2 linked regions of the Arabidopsis thaliana genome follow. The protein of the gene in region 1 interacts with the protein of each later gene in a pairwise test. Each region holds a gene or a part of one and is shown on either strand. Other genes may lie near its edges. The genes, in order: MYB3R-5 and AT3G57600.

Region 1 (13,016 bases):
GAGTGGTACATCAGTTAAATCACGTGCTCCTGATGGTGTTCTCATAACTGCACTGCAGTTACTCTCGTTATCATTGGATATTTGCACTCAGCAGAGGCAATCTAATAGTCAGGATTGTTGCTTAGAAAATTCAATTCCAATTCTCGAATTAGCTGGTCTGGAAATAATTGGTATAGCTCAAGGGACTGAAAAAGAAAGTTTATTGTCTCTTCTTGTTTCGTTAATGAAGACTCGTATGGGAGATGGCCGCCATCAATTTCCAGAGCCAGGCAGTTGCAATATTTCGTCCTGGATTGGAAATCTGCTGAAGAAGTTCAGTGCAATTGATTCTGTTTGTATGAACCTATTGCAAAGTCTTGCCCCCGAGGTGGTTGGTCAATCTGGCTTCGATAAAGTCATGTCAGGTTCTACTTCTGATGAGAAGCGCAAGGCTAAAGCTAAAGAGAGGCAGGCTGCTATTATGGTAAGATCCTTTTATTTCAAATCTAGTGCAAAAGTTTGACATGGAACCGGTAGCCATTGATGTCTGATCATGCACTTGAACATATGATGGCTGCTGTTCGCTCCCTGACTTGTCTGGGTCCTGCATGCTCCCTGTTAATGTATCTCCTTGTTGATAAGCATCAACAAGGAGCATGCAGAACGTAGACATAGTTACCTCTGTGGTAATAGAAGATTTTTGTATAAGACTGTCTAAATTGTTTTTATGCTCATTATTCAAGTTGTTATCTGTAGTTAGAATTAATAAGTTCCAGGATATGGTAGTTATGCTTATATATAACTTGCATGCAGGCAAAAATGAAAGCTGAACAGTCAAAGTTCTTGTCTACCTTGAGTTCCAGCATGGATGATGATGATCCGAGATCTGAATTTGAAACAAGTGATTCTGTGATGGAACATGATTCAGAAATAGCTGTCCGTGAAGTTTGCTCCCTCTGCCATGACCCAGATTCCAAAGACCCCGTTTCTTTCTTGATTTTTCTCCAGGTTGGTAGCATGACTGATGCTATAATATGCGACTGTTAAGGTTAAATAAACATATACTCCGAGGAAATTTTGTTCTGCATCATTCTTAATGATGTCATTTTTCCTGCAGAAATCTAAACTATTGAGTTTTGTGGATAGAGGCCCTCCATCTTGGGATCAATGTCCACAATCCGAAAAGAAGATATCTGTGGATGGAGCTCCTGATCTTTTGAGAATGAATGCTTCTTCAGATAGTTTAAGAATAAGTTCTCCTCTCATGCTGCAATTGTCAGATGATACTATCTCTGAGTCTGCTAATATGATTGAATCTATAAAAGCCCGGCTTATAGGGAATGGTCAGACAGAGAAGAGGTCTAGCGATGGGAGGGGAAAAGATGAATCTAACATGGAATCATTGGAGATAGCCATGTATCAAACTGTTCGCAACAAAATTGAAAACATGATAAATCAAAGCCTTACACGTGTAGATCATCAACCCCATGAAGCTGAAAATTGTTCGGAGAAAAATTCTGTTGGTGGTCCATCTACTTTGCAAGGTAGATTTCCTGATATTCGATCAAGACAAACTTCCAGGCGTCCTGATGCTGGTTCAGATGGGTTTCACCCTATCGACTGTGATGGGGTTTATCTTTCATCATGTGGACATGCTGTACATCAAAGCTGCCTTGAACGATATTTAAAATCCTTAAAGGAAAGGTGAGCCATGTTTGACTTCCTTTGGTTTCGTATGTGAAACAAAAATCTTAATTACTCAGCGTGTAGATAGGTGAATATATTTTTCTTTTAAGTTGATACTTCCTTCCTACCTGTTGGGCATAGGTTAATCAGGCGTGTTGAATTGATTTTCCTTCCTTGATTTACAGCTGTGATATTCACGTTTAAAAGCTTTTTTTGGTTTGTTGGGATGGTGTAGGTCTGGCAGAAGAACTGTCTTTGAAGGTGCACATATTGTGGATCTAAAAAAGGTATTTGTGTGACCAATTTAGAGATATTTTTCTGGTGCTTTAACGTACTCCTTCTGAAGCTTAAACATTGTTTCTTCTGTCAGAAAGAATTCCTGTGTCCTGTATGCCGCCGACTAGCCAATTCTGTATTGCCTGAATGTCCTGGAGATTTATGTTCTGTCTCAAAGCTACAAGATAGTCCACGTACTAAGTTACGTAGAAAAGATGCACTGCAGCCTTCTCTTTGGCTCTCTGAAGCGTTGTGTCTACTACGATCTGCTGCTGAAGTGATCGAAGATGGTGATAGAGGTAAAACAGTTACTCCACAGGGAGATGGACCAAGAAGGAAAGATCTTAAATCTGTCTCTAAAATGCTCTGGGATTTCTATTTTCCCAAGCCAGAGGATAAAACTCTAAAACGTCTGTGGCTACCACCACAATCAATCGTCATGTGGGACACCCTTAAGTACTCTCTCATTTCAATGGAAATTGGTACTCGTTTTGCCAAGAATTCAATGCTGCCTGTCTATTGTATTGACTCCTTGTATGAAGAGTTGAAAACCTCTAAGGGGACTATTTTGTCAGTTTTATTACGAGTGGTACAGAGCTCCAGAACAAAGAATACTATTCATGTTCGTCAGAGATTTGTGGGTATGAAGCATCTTGCAGAGTCTATATGCTATGGAGTTTCAAGTAGTTCTTCGAGCAGCATATTTGGAAGTGAAGGTACTTTTTCTCCAACACTCAAGAGGAAATAAAGGACATGGAAATGTCTGTCTACATGGCCTCCGTAATTGCAAATATTAATGAAATAGTTGCTGACTGTAGTTGTTTCTCGATAACATCTGAGAATATTTGCCATCTTTTCAGGCACAACAGGTTCATTGAAGAATATAGACCTGCTCTGGAATCGAGCATCCGATCCAGTTCTTGCCCATGACCCATTTTCATCACTGATGTGGGCTCTCTTTTGTCTTCCTTTTCCTTTTCTCACGTGCGAGGAATCTCTATTGTCACTTGTGCATATTTTCCACAGTGTCTCGCTTGTTCAGGTATGCCACATTGTTCTCTAAGTATATACAAATTTACCTCTTTAGACGTACGTCTCCTAATCTCATTGTCTTTGGTGCAGACTGTAATTGCTTATTGTGCATGTCGCCCAAGTGAATTGAGTGAATTAAATTTTGGGGAAAACCTGCTTAATGACATCTCCAACGCTTTGAGAGAATCAGGTGGTTGGGAGTATTTCAGGTCGAACAATATGGATTTGTCATGTGATATAAAAGACACAATCCGTAAATATAGTCTTCCTTTCTTGAGGAGATGTGCGTTGTTGTGGAAGCTACTGAAATCTACTCCTAGGAAGCTTCATGAAGAGTCAGATATGTTTGATTTGCCATCTGACCCCACCACCGACAATATGGATTTCATATACAGTCCCCAGTCTGAGCTGAATCATGTGCAAGAATTGGAGAAAATGTTTAACATTCCACCTATAGATATCATTCTTAATGATGAACTTCTCCGTTCTTCAACCCAAATATGGCTCCAGCATTTTCAGCGGGAATATAGAGTCAACAGAGTTAAAAGGTCCCTTTGCATCACCCCTGTAGTTCCTTTCCAGCTAATGAAATTACCCAATCTATACCAGGACCTACTACAAAGGTTTGCAGCAACGTCTCTCTCTGGTTTTTGCACAAGTTGTTTCCCATTCGAAGACTTTTTCTCTAATCAAAAAGCCTTGTTTTCTTTTCTTTTATAGGTGTATAAAAAAACGTTGCGTCAACTGCACCAAAGTTATCGAAGAACCTGTATTATGTCTTCTGTGTGGAAGTTTGTGTTCTCCCATATGGAGCCCTTGTTGCAGGTATTGCCTTTACTTCCACTAGTCTCCAAACATCGTTTTGGTTGACACTGTTATTGTTCTAGAAAACCAAACAATGACGTTCTAACATACTTTTACAGAGAAAGTGGTTGTCCTAATCATGCAATTACCTGTGGTGCTGGTACTGGTGTATTTCTTCTGATACGGGTATCACCTCTCGTCTTCTCTCTCTCTCTCTCTCTCTTGTGGATATAACTCTCCTTTACTTTATATATTGCTCGTGTATGTATGGAGTTTGCATCATTTGTGGGCTTTCTAATTGATTACTGCTCTACATTTTTCGATAGCGGACCACAATTTTGCTACAAAGGTTTGCAAGACAATCACCTTGGCCATCTCCTTACCTGGATACGTTTGGAGAAGAGGTAAACCTAGAAAGATTTTTTTCTTTCTTTTCCTTTTAACTTTGATGGGTACGATCTTGTTGATTCGGATGTTTCCATGCTGTTGGTCATTGAATATTGTTTCAGGATATCGATATGATCAGAGGAAAACGACTATACCTGAATGAAGAACGTTATGCTGCTTTAACTTACTTGGTAAATGTTTGTCTCAACAATCAAAAGAAGAAACTTTTGTTTGTATGGTAAAATATATAATTGTTTTGCTTGGTGAAATCCTTTTCAGGTTGGTTCTCATGGACTTGATCGCAGTTCAAAAGTTCTCGGCCAAACCACAATTGGAGCCGTCTTACATTAAACGATCTGCGTGCTATTTCTCAGACATTGATCTCTATGAGATGGTATTCATATGTTGCTTTGAAATCATCAGTTAAGATTCTAAAGATTTGAGAGCTTTTCTGATGATTTTTTTTTATTTGATTTCTGTCACTTTGGTTGATTTCTTTATTTGTGGATATATGCGATCATGTTTGTAAATAGAGTATTATTTCTTGGCAGTTGCATAATGTTTATTTTTAACAATACTATCATTGGTTAGTCTCTGTGCGCAGATTTGCATTGTTTCTTTTATTTTATTCAGGCTTACTACCTGAAAATGGTCGATAAACATCCCAATGATTAAAAAAAAAGTGTTGATTTTGAGAAGGTTTATTTGTAAAATTTTTGATATATGTACAGATTGATCCAGAGAAAGGATAGTATCAAAACGAATGTGTTGTGTTCTGATATCACTTCGATGTCCGAAAATGGAAGAATTTTCAGTGTCTTCGTCAACTATGTAACATCATATACTCAAAAGCCCTAAAAATAAAAAAGAATTAACCAAAATTCTAATCCTTTAAAACTAGTTTCTGCACAATTATCATTTTAAACGTAAACAGGACACCATGTATGTGAACGATGAAATTAAACTACTTGTGAGTGTACCTACCTACCTATTTCATTTTAGTTCGGGTGTTAGACCAAAGCCGTAGATTCATAGCTCAAGGCTGTGAGGAAGAGAATGAGAATTGTTTTTCTTCACGGTTCTCTTCCCAGCAAAGCTTCAATTCTTCTGGAACCATACTGGTTTCTTCACACGATCTCTGTGTCAACAAGGATGGAATTATTTTAGATTTGTTACTCAGATTAGTGACATTAAATAAAAGATTTGAAATTTTCACTCACAGTTTTCTAAGGGAAGAAGGGTTCTACACAGGCTTGTCTTCCTCAGACGTTTTAATTTCATTATCAGGCTGCTTCTCTTTTGCAGATGTAAACTCAATCTCATTATCTGGCTGCTTCTCCTTTTCAGATGTAAACTCAAGCTGTCTTGATTTGATTACAGCTGTTCTTTTAGCTCTTAACCGATATGGTGGAGACAAATTGAAAGCATTTCCATTTAACCCGAGTTCTTCATCATCACTGCAATTATCAGTTGTCTCCAGCAACAAACTTTTTCTCATATCTTTACTTTCTTCTTTTCGATCAACTTCCTTAACTACACCATTAACAACAACAACAGCATCTGTTTTCGCTGCCAAAACAACCTTTCGCCTTTTCCTAAAAATAGAAGGTGTGTTTGGAAAAGTCCTAGCAGCTTCTCTCAAGAAAGATTCAGGACTTCTCGTTGCAGTTAAACCACTGTCTTTATTACAGGGTGTAGTCATTAAGCTGACTGGTGATGCAGCACCGGGACTGCAACCACATTCATATCCGTACATATGTTGCAGATCCGCTTCTGATGGAAAGTAATAGTCAAGTGGAGACTTATAGTATAAATTCCCATGCTTTGGAGTTCCAAACCCGTTTTCTACTTTCCTCTGGATTGATCTCTCAAAATAAGCTTTTGAGTTGATTCTGACTTCCTCTGAAATTGGTTCCAGATTAGGCAACTGAGGCTTGTACTCAACAGGAGAGCAAGCATACTCATTGACACCGATTCTTCGTGAAGCAGCTACTTCTTCAAGCAGAGCGGAAGAAGAGTCAAAATGGTCTCTTCCAACTTCATTTGAATCTGTATTTCCTGAAGAGGTTTGGGTAAGCGAATCAGAATCCTTGAAAGGTTTAGTTGCACTAGACTGCTTGGAATCTCTGTCTCCATCAGCAATATCTTTCAGAACGATGAATTTGCTTGCTGGCGGTGGCAAGTTACCAGTTGCTAAGTAGAACTCTAATTTTTTCTTCAGTGAACTATTCCAATGGTTCTTTATGGCGTTATCAGTCCTGCAAAAAGTACAGGTAGACATCAGAAGCAAAAACTGTATGAGATGTTCAAAAATGTCCATTAACTTTATTTTTCACAAGGCCTTTTTCAACTACAAGTAAGTATACCTTCCTGGTAAAACCTTAGCAATTTCCGCCCATTTGTTTCCGTACATTCGATGAGAATTCATGAGAGCTGATTCTTCTTCTACGGTCCAAGCATCCTTTCTAATACCAGGATTTAAATGGTTGTGCCACCTGTAATCGTAAACTCGTTGAGGCTTCCAAACTCAACGGAGGTACAGGCTCTATTCTTCAGATAGTCAATATTCTAATCTTTGTTACCTTTCTCGACATTGTTTCCCAATACGACCTGGTAAGGACTTGGCGATGACAGACCATTTGGCAGGTCCATATTTTTTTACAAGTTCAACGATTTTATCATCCTCCTACAATTCACGAAAGAAAGAGAATTTTAGAGCTACCAAATTTTTACGTAAAATGAAAACCAAAAAAAGTTTCAGAACATGAAAATGATAAGAGAACCTCTTGAGTCCAAGGTCCTTTAACAAGCTCTGGATTAAGAACTTTCTGCCACCTGTGCAAGCATTGGACTTCTGTTCTCTCTGGGAAAAATTCCGCTGTAAGATGAAATACAAAAAAATCAAACAAACAGAACATTGACCGAAACCAGCTACTTTAACATTTAAGAGACAAAAAAGAAATCATGGTTCTCTTGCAAAGTGCACAGCAGAGATCATGTTTACTGAATGAGAAAAATTCACAAAATTCTCAGCAGATTTAAGATACGAGTTCAGTTTTAAAAATGTATAAATTATACATTCAAGTATACATCAAGACAAGAGTGTGATTAGAAGACCTATAATCTCATTCTAATGTATTGCAATACTACTTTTACATTCAAGAAAAGAAATTTACCTATTTTCTTCCACCTCTTCCCCTTATACTTTTCAACTGCTCGTCTAAGTGTCTCATCCTGAATAGTGATAAAAACCAATTACAGACCACAATAAGGCTAGTCTCGTCTTTCATTCAAGTAAACACTAATCCTTATACATATAAGATACATAGTCGAATGAGGTTGCTCCACACACCAACAAAATTATGAAACAAAAGCAACCACTAACCTCCTCTGGAGTCCAACCACCTTTTGCTCGTCTCATAGGTCCACTAGTCCTCCTGCAGATCAACATTAAAACATTGCAGAAACCCAAAATGAGTTCGGTGTAAGTCATCAAAGCACAGTCTTTCCAATCAATCAATTTCATAATAAGTTGTATAAACACACAGATAGAAGATGAAATGTAAAAGATAGTAAAAGTACCGAGGAAATGAAGATACTGTGGCAGGAGTTGCGATTTCAGGTGACTTGAGGAAGAAACAGCCACTACCTTCGGATGCAGAAGAGCAAGAAGCAGCTAATGGTTGCTTATTCTCCATACATTGAATCTCAATTTTCATTTCACTTCTTTCCTCCTAAAAAACCCATATAAATCACCAAATCCAGAATTTTCGTTAAAAACATGGGATTGAGCACAAAATGAACAAGAACGTATCTTTATCAAACAAATAATCAAAAATCACAAAACCCTAAAAACTCAACGGCCGCAAAATAGAAGCCAGATCTCACAAAAAAACAAGTCGATTTCTTTCAAGCACAAGATGGATGTTTAGGGTTTATACAATTCTAATCATTAGAAACCAATTCAGACCCTTTTCCAAGACCTGTTAAAACGTGTTCCGATTCAGACCTAAAACCCCATGAACTCACACCAAAGTAGACGAAGATAACAATCTGATCACAAAAAATGAAAAGCCCTAATCAGATTTCAGGGAAAAATCTGACCTTTTCCGGTGAACAAACCGGTGGATTCGAACTTGAGCTCATCGTGATCGCCAGATAAGCGAATTCGCGAGGAAGAAGAAGAAGGGAACGTTAAAAAACAAACCAAAACTTATATTCGAAAAAAACTTTGCCCGTTGAACGAGAGAGAAGAGAGAAAGGAGAAGGAGACTAATTGGGATTAAAACAAATATTGTAACGAATACTTCTTCCGCCGACGTAACTGCTAACTGCCGTTAACCTGGAACCGGCCGGTTTATTCCAAACCGACTCAAAAGAATTGGAAGAAGCCGGTTAATTGAATTGAGAAAATGAATGTTTTTTTACGAAACTTATTAATGTGACTGGGCTAATTAATTAATTATAATATTCTTTCGGATAAAAACGAAAACAACGAGTTTAATTCGTGGTTGGATAAAACCGGTTATCTAAAATCAAACTATAACCGAAAATGGTGACAAGAAACCACAGGGGGACTTAACGGACGTTAAAAGTAGAAGAAAGGTTGACGTTGGAAATAAAAGTTTCAACCTCAAACGGCACTCTTTAGCTGATGCGTTGACCATTGTACACGTCGGCAAATCAGAGGTCCTCAATGATTATGGACCGTCGGATCATTAAGATAACTCATTCTGGTTTTTTTTTTTACTGTAGTTTCTTAAGCGAGAACAGTCCGAATTGGCCCATAATTTAAAGCCCAAAGGCCGAGATATAATTAATCAGTCGAGGTTTTTGGGTAAGAAGAAGATATAGAAAATTACAATTCGTTTTAGTAAAAGAAAAGATTACACAAAAACGTAAACAACCAGACAACAAGAAGATTGAGCAAATGGGGAACTAGAAGAAGTTAAGAATCCAAAAGTATTACAATACGTTTTAATAGAAGAAACATATTACAAAACGTAGACAAGCAAATGGGGAGTGAAATATAGCGAATAAGGGACGACGAAGCACCGGCGATGATGACATCTAATCCATCGAACAACTGTAAGAGCAAAATGTCATGTCATGCCAATTGAAAATTACTTTGTGTGGACAACGATCTTCTTTATGAAGTTGGCAGAATGGTCGAGTCATGGTATTGTTGGGAAGAATATAAATGTTTGACCTATAAGCCATTACAGTATGACCAGGATTCAACATATACATCTCTTTTCCAAGCAAACAATCAACATGGAGAGTGGTGCAGCAGTCATCACACGCATAGAACCCACCTTCTCTTGAGTATTCTAATTTCTTTTCGCATACCTCACACCAGTCTAACTGATCACTTCCCTCTTCCCCTTCCCGAAATGTGAGGAAATGTTTGTCAAGCTTATACTTTGCCTTGTATGGTAAAGTAGCACAACTGAAACATATAATATAATTGCATTCGATGCAATTTAGTTTTCGACCATACTTTTTTCGGCAAATTTGACAAATTGCCTCCCTTTCTTCTTTTCGGTCTAAAGCTTGGAATAAGGGATGCTCATGGCCTTGATAATCAAATGGTTCAGAAACAGAGGCACACCGTATGTCTATGCTGTATTGATCCTCCTCATAGATGAAGCCACAACTTTCACGATCACAAGCGGAACACCTGAAGTAACCTTTAAAGTATTCATTCTGTATATCAGAGACAACTTTTAGCGTAAGTGGGTGACTGTGTAAGGCATGATCTTTCTTGCGAGAAGCATTTGCACATGCTTCGTGGAGGATGAAGTTGCATTGATCCATACACGAGTAATAATTACCCTCATAGATTGGAAGGATGCACGCTTGACAAATAATGTTTTCGTTGTAAACTCCACTGGTCTTGAGTTTCAGATGATGGCCATGAGAAAAATGGAGTATTATTCCATCAGCTATCGTCTCAAATGGCTCGAGAATTATTTCAGGTTCTTCAGGTACTCCCTCGAGATCCTTTCCATCCCACAAGTCTTCCCGTAACGCACATCTTGTATGAACAAAATAGTGGCTACACTTGTTGCAAGTGTATGCACCACAATTGTTGTCAACCTTTTTACGACATACTCCACAAGACCATTTTCCAGATGGAAGAGAAGAGGTAAAAGAGATACGGTGTTGGTGACGACATATTTTAATGACATACGGGAAATAGATACAATCTCGATGGGCTACAAAGATACATCGAAGACACACATAGGTGGGGAAAGCTTCTTTAATGAGGCTACAAACATCGCAAAGTAAGGAAGCTTGTTTGGGAAAAAAGGTGAGAAGGTGGGGATGCCTTTTTGGGTGGTCTATAAAAATGGATATTGGCTTCATCGCACAATCGGGATGCAAACTCAATTTGTAGGTGGGACAATAATAAAAAATAAGATTGGAAGGGTGTTTACAGCACATGCAACTCATGAGCTGCTCGTGACGAGTGTAAAGTTTGAGTGAAAGAAAGGGATAGGAAGGGTGTTTGATCTCAAGGGGAGACTCCACGCATTCTTTGTGGAACATTAGATCACACGTGAGACAGATATAATAGTCTGTGCCAATCTTTGATCGTTCACATGCACCGCAATTGAATTGATCGAACTCAATTTCTTTACTGTTACACCAATAGATAGGGACAACTGGGAGCTTACAGATTTCATCACCATCATCATCATGGCTGTTGTCGGAATGAAGCAAATCATGGACTTGTTGGCTGTCGGAATCAAGCAAATGCTGGACTTGTTGATCAGCGCCTCTTATGCTGGGGAAGTACGGGGAAATATTGAACGGTAGAATTTCACTATAAGAATAGTTTATCTCGTCAGCTTTAAGACGTAAAGAAGGACAGAGGAAAAGAGGTTGTTGAAGAGAGAGATGGTCGTCGCCATCAATGGCTGTTTCACCGGAAGAAGAAGGGGTTGTGGTGTCTGTTTGAGATGATAAAGTGTATGTGTGGAATGGTTTCCCATCGATTTCCTTCTCACGAAATACACCGACTGAATTTGAATTCATGGCTGCTTGCTAGCTAGCCTACAAAGATGATTTTGGGTAGTTGTGATATTTCTCGTCTCCTTCTCACCCTTCCATTTATATACAATAATATTAAAGACACGTAAGATACACAGCTAATTTTGATCGATATGTTTAATATTTTTTCAATTATTATTTCGTTTGTTAATCTTTTTATATTCTTTGTTATAGAAAAGTCTTTCATTTTTTTGTTTTTGAATCTCAGTGAGACTAGTCTTTGTTATTACTTATTAACACTTGATTTTAATGGTTTACATTTTTAATCGTTATCACTTTAACAATTCGGTTGACAAAAAAGTAAAAATTGTTCCATCATCTAAAATGTACTTTTTTAAACTGAAGTTTTAAAAGTCTGTGCATAGCACGTCCCCATTTCCTATTTTTTTGCTATAGAATAATCGTCAATAATAGTCAATTATTGTTTCGAAACACTGAAACGATGAGAATATGAATTATTGTTTGACAATTAATTAGCAATTGGACCCTTCTAGTTTTCTCAATTAATTTTTGTATATCCTCTGAGGTTCTGACTATCTCACACGTTATTTGTGCTTTTTTAATATGGATGTTATTTGTGATTTTTTTCTGATTACTCTTTATCAATTTTTTTATCTTTTATTTTATCTCCTGAATCTTCAAATAAAAATACTCATCAATGTAAAATTGTGTATGCATTATGTATATTTGATTTCAAAATAACGAAACAAAAGCAACCACTAACCTCCTCTGGAGTCCAACTACCTTTTGCTCGTCTCATAGGTCCACGAGTCCTCCTCCAAGATCATCTTCTCATAGGTCCACTAGTCCTCCTGCAAGATCAACATTAAAACTAGGGGTATTAAAATTGGTCAAAATTCATGGATCAATTCAACTCAACTCAACCTATGAATCTTAATAAGTTGAAAATTTTGACTCAAATGAGTTGATGGGTCAAACGAGTTATTGGGTCAATTGGTTTGATGAGTAAAATGAGTTGGATTGTAATGGTTAATGATTTCAATGGTTTACCCAATTAAACCATCAAGTTTTGTAAAATTGAATCAAACCAACCAAAATCTCTAAACAAATACCAATTTAAGTTTAACCAACACATCTAAACCAATTTAACAAAATTAATATTTTTCCAAATTTCTTAAATATACAAGCGATGAAATTGAGAAAAAGTAAACTCGTGATTTTCCCGCAAAAAACGTAAACCCGTGATTTTTCCAGCCAAAAACGAAAACTCAAGATTTTCCCAACAAAAAATATAAACTCGTGATTTTTCCGCCAAAAACGTAAACCCGTGATTTTTCCGCCAAAAACGAAAACCCGTGATTTTCCCGCCAAAATACGTAAACCCGTGATTTTCCCGTCAAAAACGAAAACACTTGATTTTCCCGTCGAAAACGTAAAGTTGTAATTTTCCCGCCAAAAACGAAAACCCGTGATTTTCCCGCCAAAAACGTAAACCCGTGATTTTCCCGCCGAAAACGTAAACTTGTGATTTTCCCGCCAAAAACGTAAACCCGTAATTTTCTCGTTGAATACGTAAACCCGTAAAAAGTGGAATCCGTAAATATCCTATGTTTGATGATAATGAATTAATAATTATTAATAATGATAATTATTTATTATTATTTTATAATAATAATTAATTAAATTATTACTTAAATGAGTTAATTCATTTAACAACTCAACCCATCAAATTAAATGAGTTATGGGGTTACCCAACCCATTTAACAAAATGAGTTGGGTCAACTCATAACTCATTTAACCATAAACTCATTTGATTATAAGTTGAGTTGAGTTGG
Region 2 (10,570 bases), on another chromosome or scaffold:
TCGATACTTAAAGGAAATGAAAAAAGATCATTTTCCTGATATTTTGTTCCTCATGGAGACCATGAATTGTGATCCTTTTGTTATGAAAATCTTTACTTGGCTTGGATATGATTATTTTCACACAATAGAACCAGAAGGCAAAAGTGGAGGTCTCGCTCTTTTTTGGAAAAATAACCTAGAAATTGAGTTTTTGTATGAAGACAAGAATCTTTTGGATTTGAAAGTGATTCAAGGTTCTCAAAGTTGGTTTGTTTCTTGTGTGTATGGGAATCCAATGGCAAGTCTCAGATATTTGCTTTTGGACAAGTTATGCTCTATTGGTGAATTCAGGAAATCAACTTGGTGTATGATAGGTGATTTTAATGATATCACATCTAATCAAGATAAGTTAGGAGGCCCTTCTAGACTGTCTTCTTCTTTTCAACCATTCAAAGATATGCTTAGCTGGTGTGACATGCATGAATTAGGAAGTTCAGGGAATAGTTACACTTGGGGAGGAACTCGTAATGATCAATGGATTCACTGCAAATTAGATAGATGCTTTGGAAATTCGGCTTGGTTTTCTATGTTTCCAAAATCACATCAATGGTTTCTTGAAAAAATGGGTTCAGATCATAGGCCTGTTCTTGTAAAGTTTGTGAATGATCAGGAAGTCTTTCGTGGTCAATTTCATTTTGATAAAAGATTTGCAGATGATCCTAATTGTGCAGAAGCTATTCGTTCTTCTTGGAATGAGATTGTTTCTTCAGAAGTGTCGTCATCAATGATGGGATTAGTGGAGTGCAGGAAAGCCATTGGTAAATGGAAAAAGGGGAATAATTTCAATGCTCAGAACAGAATAAAATGTCTGAGGAAAGAGCTGGATGAGGAAAAAAGTTTTCAGTTTCCTTCTTGGCCTAAAGTCTCAGTGTTACAAGATCTTTTAAGTGCTGCCTTTTATGAAGAGGAATCTTTCTGGAGGTTAAAGAGTAGAGACAAATGGTTAGATGGAGGTGATAAGAATTCTAAATTTTTCCAAGCTTCTGTCAAGGCTAATAGAGTTAAGAACTCACTAAGCTTTTTAGTTGATGAAGAAGGGAATGAACATACTGTAGCTAAAGAGAAAGGCAACATTGCTTTAAGCTTTTTCAAAGATCTCTTTACTTCGTCCTATCCTGCTAATATGCAATCAATCTTACATGGATTCCAAGCAAGAGTCACTTCTGAAATGAATATTGACTTGACTAAAGATGTATCAGAGGAGGAGATTTACAATGCGGTATTCTCTATAAATGCAGAGAGTGCACCAGGTCCTGATGGTTTCACTGCTCTATTCTTTCAGTCTCATTGGTCTTTAGTTAAGAAGCAGATAATGGAGGACATCTTGGGCTTCTTTCAAACGGGAATCATGCCAGATCAATGGAATCACACACATCTATGTTTGATTCCAAAAATTTCACCCCCAAGAAGAATGGCAGATATTAGACCGATCAGCTTGTGTTCGGTATTATACAAGATCGTGTCAAAGATTCTATCTGCTCGTCTGAAGAAACATCTTCCAGAGTTAGTCTCCCCAACCCAATCTGCATTTGTTGCTGAGAGGTTAGCTTCTGATAACATTCTCATTGCTCATGAGATAATTCATAATTTGAGAACTAATGATAAGATTTCCAAAGAGTTTTTGGCTTTCAAAACAGACATGTCCAAGGCCTATGATAGGGTTGAATGGCCTTTTTTACAAGGAATTTTAACAGCTATGGGCTTTAATATCAAATGGATTTCTTGGATTATGAGTTGTGTGACTTCAGTCTCTTATTCTGTTCTGATAAATGGTCAAGCCTTTGGTAAATTGTTTCCTGAAAGAGGTATAAGACAAGGGGATCCTTTATCCCCTTTTCTTTTTGTTTTGTGCACGGAAGCTTTGGTGCATATTCTAAATCAAGCAGAAAGAGATGGGAGAGTAACAGGAATAAGGTTTAATGAGGCGGGGACTTCAATCAATCATTTATTGTTTGCTGACGATACTTTGATAATTTGTAAAGCTACAAAGAATGAATGTGAAGAGCTTATGCATTGTTTATCAGAGTATGGACATATCTCAGGACAAGTGATTAACTTGGAAAAGTCTGCTGTCACCTTTGGAGCCAAAATTGACGAGGACACAAAAGATTGGATTAAGAATAGATCAGGAATCCAATTGGAAGGTGGGTATGGAAAGTATCTGGGACTACCGGAATGCTTAAGAGGTTCGAAAAAGGATTTATTTGAGTTCTTAAAGGAAAAATTACAGGCCAGACTCATAGGTTGGTACGCTAAAACTTTATCCCAGGGGGGTAAAGAGATTCTATTGAAGTCTATTGCGATGGCTCTCCCTGTGTATGCAATGACTTGTTTTAGGCTACCTAAATCTCTATGCTCAAGGTTAACTGGTGCTATGATTGACTTTTGGTGGAATTCAATGCAGAATACGAAAAAGATTCACTGGATTGGGGCTCAAAAATTAATTTTGCCTAAATCTCTAGGAGGTTTTGGTTTTAAAGACCTTCAGTGCTTTAATCAAGCTTTATTAGCCAAACAAGCATGGAGAATCTTTAAGAATGAAGATAGTCTTTTGTCCAAGATCTTTAAAAGCAGGTATTTCCTCAATACTGATTTCCTTAATGCCTCTAAAGGAACACGTCCTTTGTATGCTTGGCAGAGTATTTTGTATGGTCGTGACTTATTGCAGAAGGGTTTAAAAAAGATTATTGGCAATGGGCAACAAACCATTGTTTGGGTTGATAAGTGGCTTTTTGATGGTCTGAATAGAAGACCTTCGAGTATTCATTCTTTGATGGATATTAGCATGAAAGTGAATCAACTCATTGACCCCATTTCTGGAAACTGGAATCTGAATCTTATGAGTCAGTTATTTCCTTGGACGGATATTCTGATAATGCTTAATCAAAGACCGATGGTAAATCGAAATGATTCTTATTGTTGGTCTGGCAATAATAATGGCATTTACACGGTTAAATCAGGGTATGATCTGATTAGTCGACAAGCTCATCAAAAGATTTATCAAGAGGCTGCAGTGAACCCTTCAGTAAACCCTCTTTTTTGCAGTATTTGGAGTCTTCATACGGCGCCTAAAATTAAGGTCTTCTTATGGAAAGTCTTAAAAGGAGCTGTAGCAGTGGAAGACAGACTAAGAACTCGTGGTATCAAGGCAATGGATGGATGCTTAATGTGTAATGAGGAGAATGAAACAATTAACCACATTTTATTCCAATGTCCATTGGCAAGACAAGTCTGGGCGCTGTCCCTTATGCAATCCCCTGAAAAAGGTTTTGGATCTTCAATCTTTACTAATATGGACCATGTTTTGAACTATTGTCAGAAACTGAGTAGTTCTAGTAATGTGAGTTATGTTAGTCCTTGGATAATCTGGGTCTTATGGAAACATAGGAATAAAATTCTGTTTGAGGGAGTTACTTCTGTGACTCAAAGCATTGTAGACAAAGCTTATGTGGATTGTAATCAATGGTGTTCAGCCCAACAAGATGTCTGTATCAAGGAATCAAAGTCAAAGTTGAATTGGAGTCCTCCTCCTCAGAATGAGATTAAATGCAATATTGGTGTGGCCTGGTCTAATCGTTTACAAGCTTCTGGTGCATCTTGGGTTGTGAGAGATGCTCTGGGAAAGGTGTTACTTCATAGTAGGAGATCTTATTCTCATGTTCATTCTATGTTGGATGCAAAGATTAGAAGTTGGGAATGGGCTCTTACAAGCATGGCACAACATCATTTTGACAGAGTCACTTTCAGAGCCTCAACACATGACATTATTAAAGCTCTCTACAAACCAGAAGAATGGCCATCATTATTAGGCCATACAAGTCAACTCTTGAAGTTATCACAAAAGAAAAGTGGTTGGTTCATGGCTTTGGAACCAAAACACTGTAATAAAGGAGCTTTTGAGATTGCTAAGAGTGTTATTACTGGGCACAGATGGCAATCTTATGTCTCTCGGGGTTTTCCCCATTGGCTAGGAAATCTCTTTGCTTCCGAAATGACTCAGCTAGGGAGATTGTGACAGTGTTCATTGGAGGCTTGATTTGGTTACAGGTGGTTTAACTCAGATTATCAAATCAGTCGGAGGTGTCATCTTTGGGAATTAGATGCTCAGATTAATTGCTGAGTTGTTAATCAAATAGAATGTTAGGTGTGGAGGTGGATTAGTTTTTGTCCTTTTCTAATGATTGTTTTCTTCAGTCAAAGGTTTAGTAAGTTTAGGATTTCCACTTAGGTTCTTCGAGTCTAGTTTTTTAATAATTTCTTTTTTCCTAATTTTTTCATTAAGGTTAGAGTCTATATATTATAAGTGTTTACTCCTTTACGTCATTAGGTCTCAGTCTTTCTTGTTCCTTTTCTCTTTTCAATCTTACCTCCATGGCAGATGAATTGTGGGATGAAATTCAAGGCCTGGATCTAGGTCCTGAGGATCCAGCCCTCTTCATTCCCCATGAAGCTTATGTGTATGTTGAAGAGTTCAATCGACTGAGTATAATTGCAAGACCTCTCAACCCAAGAGTCCAAAACTTGAACGCGGTGATTGCAGCCTTACCTCGGTACTGGGGAATGACGGTGCATGTCCATGGAAGAATTCTGGATGCAACTTATGTTCAATTTCTCTTCCAAAATGAAGTTGACTTGCAGTCAGTACAAAGAAGAGAACCATGGATTTTCAACAACTGGTTCGTGGCTACTCAAAGATGGGAACCTGCTCCTGCTCTTAACTTTGTTACTTCTATTGATCTTTGGGTGCAGATTAGAGGAATTCCCCTGCCCTATGTGTGTGAAGAGACGGCTCTAGAGATAGCACGTGACTTAGGAGAAGTCATCATGCTGGATCATCATGACGCAACATCTACTCAAATTACTTATATCCGAGTTAGAGTGCGTTTTGGCATCACAGACAGGCTCAGATTCTTCCAACGAATCATCTTTGATTCGGGAGAAGTGGTTACCATCAGATTTCAATATGAGCGCCTCAGAAGAATCTGTAGCAGTTGCTTCAGGTTTACGCACAACAGAGCTTATTGTCCCTATAGACCACGTCCCCACAGCATAGCCAGAGAAAGAGCTGTCTTCAGAGACAGTGTTCATAGGTCAAGCTTGAACTCTCAATCGCAGATGACGGAGACTTCATTTCCTGCTCCTGTGACACCGCCTCCTAGAATTGCTCATCCACCACTGAATCCTGAAGAATTGAGAGCTGCGTATCCATACTATGCATCAGTTAGAGATACTCATACATTACATGTTGGAGAATCTAGTACTGCAAGACAACAATGGTCATCGAGTTCTAGTACCACTCCAACAAGAGCAGACACTCCTAATCATGATAACAACAGAGTCTTTGAAGTCGGTCAATCCTCAAGAAGACAGGAAGTAAGAAGAGAAGCAGAGGATCCTAGACTTCAAACTCGTCTACACAGTGCTTCAAGAATGGGAGAGAGTCTGAAACCTCCCAAAAAGAGATAACCACTCTAACAAGACTTCTGTCAATTTTTGTTGAAGACTACAGGGAATCTAGGATAGCAGCTTCAAGTAGTTGGATATGTTTTTTTGGTTCTGACATATCCTTAACTTTGTTAAGTTTCAGGTTTATTATTTCATGTTTCTCGTTTTACTTCTAAGATCATCTTGTTATGTTTGAATCAAAGGTTTGTAAGTGGTTAGACCACTCAAACACTTTTTGTAAGAACACAATGACATGAATGAATGAAAGATAACTTTTAGGGAAAAAAAAAAAAAAAAACGAAAGAAATAGACAGTGAATTTGATGGGCCTTTGGGCTTTAGCGTAATTGTGAATGAGCTCATTTATTCATTGTCGTAATTTATGGTTTGTTCTCTCATGTGCCAATGAAGTCCGTATGTGTGCTAGCAAGCAAACGATGGTATTGGCCTAACTTTTCGTAGAGATTCTATAAAATTATGTGAAATGCAAAGACCAAATAAGTTTGGGTATAGAATCTCCAGCTACTTTTTAAAATACAAAATAATGATACCAGAGTACAGAAATTTAATAGACAGTAGAAATTGCACTTTAATTTCGGGTAGAAGATATCATTAAACTATAGGAAAAATTGATTAACCAAAAAAAGGTCAACAATGCTACAATACGATTCACTTCAAAATATTTGTAATACACTACCAAAGCTAGATTTGATTCATACTCACAGATCTTCCAACGTCTATAACTAAAGAACATAAACACATATATGACATGCCCTACTGCTTTTTACCTCATCCCTTGTCTCTTTTCTTCCCTACTGTCTCTTTCATTTCTTCTCTCCCTTTGGTTTAAGCCTTTTGGTAATGATAATCAGGCTGCGATACTTTGTTACAGCATGAGCAGAGATGCTTGACTTGAGAGATGCTTGACTTGAGTTGCTTCCCTTTGTTAACCCGAAGATCCTCTACATGGTTAACAAAAGCATAAACTCTACCACAATTCTCAACCGCTTCAAGGTTAGCTCCAAAATCTTGGATTTCAACGCTCTGGAGAGTGTTCCTCTCGGGATTGAAGTAGAACACATAAAACGGTTTACATGTATATTTCATACACAAAACAATATCACCTCTAGTAGTCACTCCAGCAACTGAAAAGTCGCAGGAATCAAGGACTTCATTCTCCGGCAGAGTGTACACATATTTAACCCATTCATGCTTCTCGGCATCCTCTAGAACCCACATACGCAACTCAACGGTGCGCCTTTCACCAGCTTGACCATACTTCCAATTAATCCCACTTAATTTACCCTCATAGTTTACCAAAATCAACCCACTAGTATCATCAAGTTGATCATTAAAGCATCCTGCGTCAAAATACTTAAATTCCTCAGACCTTACATCAAAGCAAATGATCACACAAGACGGTACACCAAGAGTCTGAGCTAAGTAATACAAAACTCCATTGATACATATTCCTTCACTCAAAGAACGATCATATGCAGGACAACTAATGATATTACTCCTCCAGCTCAGTTCCTCAGTTCCTAATGTCAGAATCTCATGATGTTCCCTTTGATCAGAAAATGGATAAGCCTCAGACAATACCTTGAATTGCTTACCAATGGGATCAAACCCTAGAAAGCCTCGAGCATTTTTGTACCTCATCAGATCAGGTAAGCTCTCATACATTCCTGTGGTAGGGTTACAAATCACAGGCGATGCATCTTTTGAGAGCCACAAATCAGGGAAACAGAGCAAACCTGAGACATAGCTACAAATGAATCGGCTTACGTCTCCTGAGAATTTTGTATGATAATCCAAATGAGAAGACTTCTCATATCGATTCTGTGGCTGCGGCGACGAGAAGAAGAGCCACTCACCATTTCGTTCGGCAGCAAACAGCAGACGTGGACGATTCGAGGATCTGGTCAGGAAGAGCTCGGTGAAAACTGGACTGCGAAGCATAGACGCCCAGTGCTTCGACAAGGTACGAAATCCAATGACTGACTTCGCCGGCAATCTCGAGAAGATCTCGAGAATGAGATCATTTGGGATTGGTTCCATGAAGAAGCGTTTATTGCCGCCGGAGTGTGTGATTGTTTCGTCGGAGAAGGAGAAGGTTTAATACGACGCAACAAGATTGGGATTGTATGGGCCTTTGGGCTTTAGCATAGTTGTGAATGAGCTAAGCCCATTTATTCATTGCGATAATTGGGACTTTTGGTTTGTTCTCTCACGTGCCAATCGGTATGTTAGATATGTGGTAGCGAATGAAGGATTAGTTTTCACAGGGATTCTAAATATCATGTAAAATGTAAAGACCAAATATGTTTTGGTAACTGGTTATGGAATCTCTAGCTACTATTAGCAACAAAAAAAAAAGACAGTAGAGGTAGAGCTTGCTTTTTGATTTAGGATGAAGAACAATTGTTTAATGGCTAAAGCAAAAGCTTAGTATCTGGTGACAAATGTGTCAATACAGAGATAAATTTATTAGGCTTAGCACTCCTTTTTTTGGATTAAACAATCAATAAAAACGAAATAGAAATATAATCAGTTTGTGTTTTTGCTTTAGTGAAACAGAAGAAAATGGGTTCAGTTATTACTTTTTCTTTATTTTTTGGGATTTGTGTAGAATTATGTACAAGTCATATACTATTAAAATAAATGGGATTAGGGAACAATGTGGTGAGTTAAATGTGATGGTAAGAGAGGAAGGAAGAAGCATGGGATAATGGTGAAGGGAGCGGCGCTTAAATCTGAAAATCTCGAGAATGAAGAAAACACGTCACTTCACTCTCACGATCGAACATGTGATTCTTGTGTGCTGCGACGACTCGTGACTCTTGCCTCTCTTTTTCTCATGCATGGCTCTCCGATTCTCCGACGAAAGAAGGAAACAACAAAAAGATAAAGATGAGATATCGTAAAAGCTTTAAAGCTTTAAAGTGTCCTCAAGAAAAATAATTCTAGGAACCCAAAAAACCTTGTCTCGCTAGATATCTTGGTAACATGTACAAGTAAAATATTAGAGCTAGTCATAACAAAGAAAAACAAAAAAAAAAACATTTGAGTTCCTGATGATTAACAGAAATTTTTGAACATAATAATCCAAAAAAAAAAAAAATGTGTGTGTGCAATTGTTCTAACTTCTTAAGCTATCATCAAAAAGGTGTAATAACTAATAAGGTTGGCATTGCGACTGTTTGGAATGCAGGGGACACCAAGAACTAGGGATTATATTATTCTAGTTTGAGCCTAGGTAGAAGAATTATATAAATATGAAGTTGAGATCAAAAATGGTTAAAAGTTTTTTTTTTTTTTTTTCTTTTGAAAATAACAGAATATGAGAAAAGCAACGGTCACATGCGCGGGTGAAAAAAGCAATTCTCTAGGAATTGAAGCGAACCGTGACATTATTTAAGCACTCACATACTCTTTCTAAGCTCCATTATCATATCCTCTTCTTCCTTCTTCACTATCAATCTTCTTCTCCACTACAACACAAATGGAGAAATCATCCTCAATGAAACAATGGAAGAAGGGTCCTGCTCGGGGTAAAGGCGGTCCACAAAACGCTCTTTGTCAGTACCGTGGAGTCAGGCAAAGGACTTGGGGCAAATGGGTGGCTGAGATCAGAGAGCCCAAGAAGAGGGCAAGACTTTGGCTTGGCTCTTTCGCTACAGCTGAAGAAGCAGCTATGGCTTATGATGAGGCTGCCTTGAAACTCTATGGGCACGACGCATACCTCAACTTACCTCATCTTCAGCGGAATACAAGACCTTCTCTGAGTAACTCTCAGAGGTTCAAATGGGTACCTTCAAGGAAGTTTATATCTATGTTTCCTTCATGTGGTATGCTAAACGTGAATGCTCAGCCTAGTGTTCACATAATCCAGCAAAGACTAGAAGAACTCAAGAAAACTGGACTTTTATCTCAATCCTATTCTTCTAGTTCTTCCTCCACCGAATCAAAAACTAATACTAGCTTTCTTGATGAGAAGACCAGCAAGGGAGAAACAGACAATATGTTCGAAGGTGGTGATCAGAAGAAACCAGAGATCGACCTGACCGAGTTTCTTCAGCAACTAGGAATCTTGAAGGATGAAAATGAAGCAGAACCAAGTGAGGTAGCAGAGTGTCATTCCCCTCCACCATGGAACGAGCAAGAAGAAACTGGAAGTCCTTTCAGAACTGAGAATTTCAGCTGGGATACCCTGATCGAGATGCCAAGAAGTGAAACCACAACTATGCAATTTGACTCCAGCAACTTCGGAAGCTATGATTTTGAGGATGATGTATCCTTCCCTTCCATCTGGGACTACTACGGAAGCTTAGATTGAGTAAAAGCAATTTAAGGTAGATCAAGATTCAGAAGTACACAAATGGTTTTGGATTTAGTGTAGCGTTTTGGAAAAGAGACATAGGTAGTGAGAGTGCAGTCTTTTATTATGCAGCAATAAAGTGAGTCAGTGTACAACCGAGTTGTTCGCTTTTTTTGGTATATTAATGAAGCATGTTCATTTTTTCGCTATCCTTTAGCTCGATAGTTTAAATAGTAAGTGAAAGTCACGGCCCTAATAGAATGATATGTTTTGTGCAAGTAACAATGCAAAAAAGCTTACCTATCATATCCCCTTTCATGGAGATCACATCTAATATCTCAATAATACTAGAAACTCATGATCAATAAATAAAGATCATGATGGTATGAACAAATTTTTAAGATTCGCCTTCGAACTGACCAACGCAAACTTTCTGTCGAGAAAAGAAAACAACAAAACTGAATAACCTAGAGACATATCACACGATGCATAAACTCCCACCAGAAAGTTTCACCTGCCAGCACTGATCAAAATCTGAAGAAATTTGCTAAGTATAGATAACATCCACAGATATTCAACAAGCATAAACAGCAGCTACAATGAACCTTCACGACTTTCTCAGGTTTAAGACATAAAAGGATCTCTTATCAATGGAACGAATAGAGTAAGATCAAACACGAAAGCTTAAACATTATGAATATAGCAACCTCACTGCTTAAGCACAGAATTCCTCTTCATTCCAATATTAGAAACAATGCAACAGATA

The links.
Region 2: the proteins of MYB3R-5 (region 1) and AT3G57600 interact in a two-hybrid assay, tested with the Arabidopsis thaliana proteins (one large-scale study listed by BioGRID).

Annotation. Positions count from the first base shown.
Region 1 is NC_003076.8:478,038-491,053, forward strand, and holds MYB3R-5 (myb domain protein 3r-5), read right to left. Parts: upstream 8,437-13,016; 5' UTR 8,311-8,436; coding exon 8,269-8,310; intron 7,899-8,268; coding exon 7,747-7,898; intron 7,628-7,746; exon of another isoform or gene 7,616-7,627; coding exon of another isoform or gene 7,602-7,615; coding exon 7,550-7,601; intron 7,399-7,549; coding exon 7,341-7,398; intron 7,043-7,340; coding exon 6,948-7,042; intron 6,851-6,947; coding exon 6,747-6,850; intron 6,660-6,746; coding exon 6,531-6,659; intron 6,423-6,530; coding exon 5,408-6,422; 3' UTR 5,385-5,407; exon of another isoform or gene 5,303-5,384; 3' UTR 4,756-5,302; downstream 1-4,755. Other genes in the region: PRT6 (proteolysis 6), read left to right, coding at 1-463, 793-987, 1,097-1,683, 1,901-1,952, 2,036-2,657, 2,802-2,983, 3,064-3,596, 3,694-3,798 and 4 more; AT5G02330 (Cysteine/Histidine-rich C1 domain family protein), read right to left, coding at 9,235-11,205. UniProt on the Arabidopsis thaliana protein: Transcription factor that binds 5'-AACGG-3' motifs in gene promoters. Transcription repressor that regulates organ growth.
Region 2 is NC_003074.8:21,323,853-21,334,422, forward strand, and holds AT3G57600 (Integrase-type DNA-binding superfamily protein), read left to right. Parts: upstream 1-8,921; 5' UTR 8,922-8,988; coding exon 8,989-9,822; 3' UTR 9,823-10,066; downstream 10,067-10,570. Other genes in the region: AT3G57587 (Ta11-like non-LTR retrotransposon), read left to right, coding at 4,411-5,505; AT3G57590 (F-box and associated interaction domains-containing protein), read right to left, coding at 6,330-7,544. UniProt on the Arabidopsis thaliana protein: Transcriptional activator that binds specifically to the DNA sequence 5'-[AG]CCGAC-3'. Binding to the C-repeat/DRE element mediates high salinity-inducible transcription.